Linked DNA regions of Ovis aries. The protein of the gene in region 1 interacts with the protein of each later gene in a biochemical or structural test. Links are inferred from orthologs where the notes say so. Each region holds a gene or a part of one and is shown in the gene's direction. Other genes may lie near its edges.

Region 1 (3,864 bases):
CGCCGGGTTTTTCCCGCCCTGGAATGTTTCCATAGCAGAAGCACAACGCACCACGTGCCGGGGCAGCGCGAGGACTGAGAAAGATCCGTCGGTTGGGGTTCTGTTTTTACATAACGCCCCCACAATGCCCTTCGCCTCCTCCCTCAACGTGGCCCCCGCTCCGAGCTCATTTTCTGGACCTGGGAAATCACTCTCAGGGTTAAAAAAGGCTCTGAGGCGGAGAATGCCCAGAAACCCTGAAATGAAATAACGTCACGCAGCCCCTCACCATTACTCTGACCAGGGTTCGAAGGTCGCATTTAGCGCCCACAGCAGCCCCGTTCAAGCCCTAAGAGGAAATGGAGAAGTGCAAGGGGACAAGCAGCAGAATGGCTGGCACCACCTCAGGTTAGCCCACGGGGCCGTCCTGGTTCTCACACCGCTCAGCTCATCCCAGTACACCCTACCCAGGACCCTCAGCATGGAACCCGGCCTCACCTCCCGCCTCCGCTGCGCGAACCCCGGATGAAACAAGGGCCCCGTCGCGGGTCTCCTTGGCGGGCTGACTCCAAGGAGCAAGGCAATAAGGGCCAGGAGGGCTGGCTGGCTGGGGATGAGGTCAATGCCCCGGGCAGCAAAGTCTCGCCGAGGCCTGAGGCTCGCTGTTTGATGGGAGAAGCAAGAAGCAACCAGCCAGCCTAGTTCCTCTCCCGGCCCACCCCCTCCCCTCCATGGCCCTGCAGTCCCCGGAATCACACGACTATATTTCCCAGGCTACCTGGCCCAGAACGCGGTACTGAGTTTCCGCTTCCGGTGGCGGCTCGCAGTGCCCTGCTGCGCCCCGCCCCCAGCGTACCCCTCCCCCGGGGCCTCGTGACACCAGGGTCGTGCGCGGGTCATCCTGGGATTTGTAGTTCGCTTTTCCCTAGTTTCGTCAGTTTCTTCTTCCCAAGGACTCCATTTCCCGGCATGCACCGCGGCTCCTAACTCTAAGCACTTGCGCGTTGCCCTCTTCCCCACCCTCCCCAGTTTCCACTCCCCCCACCCCACTTCGCCTGCCGCGGTCGGGTCCGCGGCCTGCGTTGTAGCCGTCGTCGCGGTCTTTGGAAGCAGAAACTCCCCTTCCCCTCCCCGTCCCCCGGTCCCAGTCCCCGTCCAGTCGGTGAGTGTGGTGGTCGTCGCCGCGCCATGTCCCCTGTCCCTGGGCGCGGCACATGGGGTCTCCGCGTCTTGATGTGGGGGTGGGAAAGGAAATGACCCGGTCCGGCACCGAGGGTAGGAGAGGTGGCCCGAAGGGTGGAGGCGGGATGTCGGGACTTCTATGAAACGGACCTGACCACCACCTATAGGCCATGAGAAAAGGAGGGCCCAGCTCTTGCTTGGAAAGGATAAACTTCGGAACCCTTGAGAATGGGGCCAGAGACTTGCGGGGGTAGGGAGCTTGAGCCACGGCCCTACCGGAGTTGACACGGAGGAGAGAGGGGCCTGGCTTTCAGGAGCGTCAGGGATGGAGGTAGGACTAGTGGGGTCAAGACCTGTCGGTTTCTCACAGCTGGTGGACCCCGAAGAATTTCTCTATGTAATCTCAGTGAAAAGGGGCTGGAATGTAAATAAGAGGAGCTAGAGAGACGTGCTCCAGTCTCGGGTTCTTTAAGAAAAGGGTAGCCCCAAATTCTTCCATGGTTTGAGGGCAAAGTGTGGGAGGAGTGAGGATACCAGAGGTTGGGAGGGAGAGCTTAGGCTTATACTCTTCTGTCTCTAGCCGACGTGAAGATGAGCAGCTCAGAGGAGGTGTCCTGGATTTCTTGGTTCTGTGGGCTCCGTGGCAATGAATTCTTCTGTGAGGTGAGTTCTCCTCAACCCTACCATCCACCTCCACATGTAATCTGGCCACATAATCTCCTGCACATAAAGCTTCCACACACTTCTCTTACATACTTTAGTAAAAACTCTTGTCAAGGAGGAGTCTCCTTAGTAGCGCTCTCTAACTTGTGGTGAAGGGTCAAGACTGAGACCCCAAGTCAACCCTGCCACCCTCCAACAGCCTAATGTTGGACTTGTCAACCTGTGTTGTTTTTTTTTTTTTTTTTTTTTTTTACCAGGGAAGTACTGATAGTATGTATTTCTGGTAGCTATTAGGAGAATTAAAACACTTCACGTTAAAATGTTTTATAGCATGGCTGTGTGTTAACATAAGGGAGTGTAACTGACTTCAGAATCCAAGCTGTTCAGCCCCCACCTTCCTCAGAGAGCCAGCTGCCCCTCAGGAGAGGCCAAAACTGATTCCTAGAGCTAGGAACAGGAATCAGGACAGGGATCTTGAAAGGACTGCCTCTGTAAGGAGGGGATTGCTTATGTTTAGGAGAAAAAAGCCAGACCTCTTCTGGGTGGGCAGTATACACGAACTAGGGAGAGAGGTTCAAGTACTTCTGCTGAGTTGGGAGTGTGGAACAAAGGGAATGAAGCAGTTGTGTTGAAGATAAGGCACGAGTTAGAGCACCCTGCCCAGGTCAAAGCTGAGGATTCTGCTTTGGGTTTCCTTTTGACTTCACGTCCTGACAGGTGGATGAAGACTATATCCAGGACAAATTCAATCTCACTGGACTCAATGAACAGGTGCCTCACTATCGACAAGCTTTAGACATGATCTTGGACCTGGAGCCTGGTGAGACACCCTCAGGGTTGTTTTGTGTGTGTGCTGTTTTTTTCCTATTCACACCTTGTTTATCTGCTTCATGAATTTCTAAATTTCCTTTTGGTTCTCTAACCCTTTTAACCCCAAATCCTTTACTTCATTTTGATTCCATACCTCACTCTTGCCTAATTTTGTGACTTCTACACTTGTTCTCATACTCTGATCCTATAACTTAGCACTTATCGAAAATGCTAGTTTCTCCATGGGTGTTATCTTCTTCCTTGCCCCTTCCAGGTTAGAGTTCTATCTTCTGTGTTGACATCTTTGCATTTATTTATTAAAAAAGAGAAGGAAGCAGAGGCTGAGAGGGATGGAAAGAAACCCTTGGGTTGGTGGAAGGGGCAGAGGCCCAGGCTGTGGGTGGGGTGAGGCTCCAAGTTGGGTGCTGGGCTGAAGAGCCAGCAGCCCCTGGGAGTAGGCAGGGCACCTTAAAAAGTTGTAAGACAAGTGGTTGCATTTGGCTGGTGCCATGTTTCAGATGAGGAGCTGGAAGACAACCCCAACCAGAGTGACCTGATTGAGCAAGCAGCCGAAATGCTCTATGGATTGATCCACGCCCGCTATATCCTCACCAACCGTGGCATCGCCCAGATGGTGAGGCCTCTCTACTCCTACTCGGTTCCTTCAGAGGCAACAGGGAAGCAGAGTTTCCATCAGCAAGAAGTCACTCGTTTCAGCCTTGTCACGGAATCTAGCTGAGAAGAGGGGAAAGAACCCCAGAATCTGGGCCTAGGGGTTAAGACCTGATTGAGGGTTGAGGTGAAGGGAGTGTTTTGGGGGAGGGAGATGTGACCTAGAGCAGAAAGTTGTAGACTGCCTCTTCCTCAGGGAATAAGCAGTGAATGTCTGATGATCTTCAGACTGCCTGACTGGATGAAAGGAAGCAGGGGAGTCTGAAGGCCCATCTGAGCCAGAGAAGGGGCCTCTGGACATTAAGAGGCAGAAGGAGTTGGGGACACAGTGATGTGGATTGGGCTGAGGAGGGGGTTGCCTCTTTTCTTCATACCTACCCACCAACTCCTTCAATTTCATTCACATCAGTTGGAAAAGTACCAGCAGGGAGACTTTGGATACTGTCCCCGTGTGTACTGTGAGAACCAGCCAATGCTTCCCATCGGTGAGTGTTGGGAAAGGGAAAGGAGGGCCATGGCAGGCTGGGATGGAGTTGGGGCTCAGCAGGTTGGGGCCTG
Region 2 (3,909 bases), on another chromosome or scaffold:
GGCTAGTGTGGCTGAAAGGCTGAGCAAGGGATAAAGAGAAACGGGATGAGGTGAGATGGGAAGGCTAGGTAGTGCTGGATGGCGGAGGGCTCTGAAAGCTGCAGTAACGAGCCTGGATTTTCTCATAAGCGTTTAACGGACAGCCTGTGGATTCTCAGCAGAGTGGCATAGTCTATCTGACTACCTGCCCTTTAGAGAGATCACCAAGACCCAGGATAGAGAATGGGTTGGAGGAAGAAAGAGGAGGGAGCTACAACTATCTTGCTCATTGCTGTTACCCTAGCATCTAACATGATACCTACACAGAAACTGGCACTCAGCAAATGTATGTGGTATGAATGACTGTGAAAACAGAGCAGGCTATTTCAGTAACCAAGGCTTGGAGCTGAAGAAGTGTTCCGATTTGAGATGTTTTGTAAGTCCAGTTGATAGGACTTAGCAAAGGATGACTGAGGCAGGGGTTTGGGGAGGAGTGAAAAAGAGTCAGGCAAGATTCCCGCGTACCTGGCCTGAGCCAGCTGCACGGCTGGAAGGGATAGTTGAATGAGAAGGGTCAGACCGGAGAAGAAGCGGAGAGGGTTCAAAGCCGACTACCGGATTCTCTCCCAACTCCCACCACACGCGCATCTGAGGAACACCGGACACAAGAGCCGGACTGAGCTCCAGTAAGAGAGGGTGACGCGTTCTCCTCCAAACCCACCCCGGGGGTCTCCCCGGAACCACGCTGGGCGCTCCGAACAGGCTCCACCCGTGGGGTGTGGGGAAAATTAGGAAGACCTGGGTGTGGAGCTCGCGTCTTCACTACGTAAACTCCTTGAACTTAATCTGAGCCGCGGTTTCCTCCTAAGATAGTTGGGAGCAGCAGCGCGTAAAGCTCCAGGCCCTAGCCGGGGGTAAAACCGCTCCCAGAGCCTGGCGGAATTACCACGTTTCTTTCGCCCCGCGATTGCTTTTCCTCGGGGCACGGGCCTGTTAGGCTAATCTCACCCCGGGCTTGCCCCAAGCCCGCCAACCCGGGGTCACGGCCTACCTGTTCACCCAGCAGCGACAGCGCTGGCGACCCAGGCTAACGTCGGAAGTCAGCGCCTCTCTCCAGTCGGCTGCCGCCGACACCCTGCCCAGCAGCCTCAGCTGCTGCCACGGCGACAGAACCTGTTTACGTCAACGTCACTTCCCGACCCCGAAGCACTTAGACCCATCAAGCCCGCAGGGCCTGCTGGGAAACAGAGGCCTGAGAGGAAGGATAACTGCCTACGAGACCCAGAGCCTTTGCGCCGGAAAGGCTGCCGGAAGTAGCTATGCTCTCAGCGCAAAATACTCTCAGGGGCCCCTCCCTCCGCCCTGATTGGATGCTGGGCCTGCCCTGCCTTCTCGTCTCAGGCTCCCGCCGGCTTGGGGCGGAGTCCTTGGGTGGAGGATGCGAGTTTCGGCCCGGGATTGCTGGAGCTCGAGCGGCCACAGTTCGGGGGCGGCACGGTGTCGACTTGCAATCCAGCTGAGAGGAGAGGCGCCACCGGGGAGGGTGAGAGCCTAGCCGGCCCATGTCCTAGGGGAAGGGATGGTTGGGTCCTGGGCTGAGCAAAGAGAGCCCCACGCGGTCTTGGGGAAAAGGCGTGGGACGGCGAAAGAGGGGTGGGGGTGGAGAGCTCAAATCCTCCCCTGGGGATGGGTGTCAGAACCGGTCTCTGTTTCTCAATAGTGAGGAGGGGTATGAATTGGGAAAGACTCTACACTGGCATGGAGAGGTTGGGTCTGGATAAATTTGCCCACACCTTTTGGATGTAGCAATAGAATTACACTTTGGATTTTCTGCTAGATCCGCCCTCTCTGACCAAGATCGGCTCCTCCCCTCGCCATCCCTGGTGTGACGAATTTCTGGGACCTTCTTTCCTTAGGACCCCACCGTCTAACACCGCCGTGATTGTTTGCCCTTTATTCCGCTTAGGTTCCCATTCGCTTTGCCTAGTGTGACACAGATAGGCCCCTAGCATCCCCAAATACCCACACACAAAGTCCGGAAGGAAGAGCTCTGAGGCTTTCAGTGGAAACTTCATTTTCACTGGAATTACCTTCTGGGGCGTCACCTGCCACAGGATTCCTGGAACCTATTGGCCTGGGCGGAATCTGAGCAACTGGAATCTCAGCTGACGTCATCCAGGGGCTCAAAGCAATTGCTTTGTTGGAAAAGAATAGATTAGTTTGGATTTGTCTTCCTTTGTTGGCAGCCGCCTAACCTTTGGTGAGCTCCTTTTCTTTGATCGTGGGGAAATTGGGGCTAGACACAAAATGCATAGAGAACTTGTTAAAACCTGTTAAGGGGTGGATTTATTCCTTCCGGGTGGGCAGTTTGGTAAAGTTATCTCATACCATTCAAGCTTAACTTACTGATTGGGCAGTCTGCTGGGGCGGGGCGCTCATCTCATCCATACTGGACAAACCACCAAAGGAGTTCAGTACTTCATACAGCACCTGTCCTGGCCTTTCCTTGGACATTCTTCCCAGGATGAACGGTCAGTCACTCAGTCATGTCCAACTTTGCAACCGCAGGGGCTGTAGCCCCCCAGACTCCTCTGTCCATGGGATTTCCCGGGGCAAGAACACTGGAGCAGGTTGCCATTTCCTTCTCCAGGGGATGATCCTGATCCAGGGATCGAACCTGCATTTCCTGTGTTTGCAGAAGGAAATGGCAACCCACTCCAGTACTCTTGCCTTGAAAATCCCATGGACAGAGGAGGTTGGTGCAGGCTACAACCTGGGGTCACAAAGAGTCAGGCACGACCGAGCGACTTCACTTTCACTTCACTCTTTACCACTGGCGCCACCGGGGACCTACTTAAATCTTTTCGGGGACAGGTTCAGTCTAACAGATTGACGAATACTTACAAATGTGCATGGCATTGTCTTAAGCACTGTTTGGAGAGTGGAGTAGTAAATGTGGGAAAACCAGTGCACTTCTGGGTTACACTTAGAGGAGATAATGATGTAAACTTCAGCATGCTATGATGATGAAGTGAGGTCACTTCACTTTTTTTCTGACTCCCATTACCAGCACTGTAGTCCAAGCCTTCGTCGTCTCTTGCCTAGACTTCTGGTCTTCACACTTGCTCTCTTGCATTCATAGAGTCCATTCTCTACACAGTAGCCAGGGTGATCTTAGATCATATCGCTTCCCTGCTCTAAACCCTACAGTCGATCTTCACTGCAATTAATATAAAATCCAAACTCTTCAATATGATCTGCCGCTGCCTTCCCTGACTTCACATCCAGCCATCTTCCCCCTTCTTTCTTTGCACCAGCCACCTTGGCCTTATTTCTGCTTCTAAAACTTGCGTCTGACCAAGGAACTTTGCACCTACTCTTCCATCTGTCTGGAATGCTCTTAAGAGCTTAGCTGGAATGTCACCTTCCCAAAGAGCCTTACCCTGGCTCCCCATCTAAATGAGTCCCTCTTCCTAGTCACTCGCCTTATTAAGTACGTTTTTCACTTCTGAAATTGCCTCATTTTTTCATTTTCTTGTTGTATATGTCTTCCCACTATGAGGTTAGCTTCACGGGACTGACTCTTTTGTTCTCATCTGTATCCCCAGCACCTGGCACAAAGCAGGGACACGATAAATACTCTTATTATTTTTATTCTTGTTAATGAACAAGAATATTCACTTTTTTTGAATTCCTGAAGTCAAGGACAGTATCATTTCATCTCTTCTTCCTGCTTAACTTGGTAGGCACTCAATATTTTATTGACAAAGGAGTTAAATGAAGTGATGATATATATGCGAATAGTACCTGGAACAGAGTAAACATGCAGAGAATGTTGGCTTTCTGTTTTCTCGCAGTGAATGAATTCTAGCAGTTCTTTAGATAGCCAAAACATGTAGAATCTAGATCACAAGGGGTGGTCTATGTCTT

Evidence for each region.
Region 2: the proteins of CSNK2B (region 1) and TNFAIP1 form a complex in vitro, tested with the Homo sapiens proteins (2 studies listed by BioGRID, with this or other methods). The link is inferred for Ovis aries from reciprocal best matches to the Homo sapiens genes CSNK2B and TNFAIP1.

What each region holds. Positions count from the first base shown.
Region 1 is NC_056073.1:26,713,194-26,717,057, reverse strand, and holds the start of CSNK2B (casein kinase II subunit beta), read left to right. Parts: upstream 1-1,016; 5' UTR 1,017-1,141; intron 1,142-1,741; 5' UTR 1,742-1,752; coding exon 1,753-1,824; exon of another isoform or gene 1,825-2,541; coding exon 2,542-2,644; exon of another isoform or gene 2,645-3,152; coding exon 3,153-3,268; exon of another isoform or gene 3,269-3,715; coding exon 3,716-3,791; exon of another isoform or gene 3,792-3,864. UniProt on the Homo sapiens protein: Regulatory subunit of casein kinase II/CK2.
Region 2 is NC_056064.1:19,764,609-19,768,517, forward strand, and holds the start of TNFAIP1 (BTB/POZ domain-containing adapter for CUL3-mediated RhoA degradation protein 2), read left to right. Parts: upstream 1-1,399; 5' UTR 1,400-1,522; exon of another isoform or gene 1,523-3,786; intron 3,787-3,909. UniProt on the Homo sapiens protein: Substrate-specific adapter of a BCR (BTB-CUL3-RBX1) E3 ubiquitin-protein ligase complex involved in regulation of cytoskeleton structure.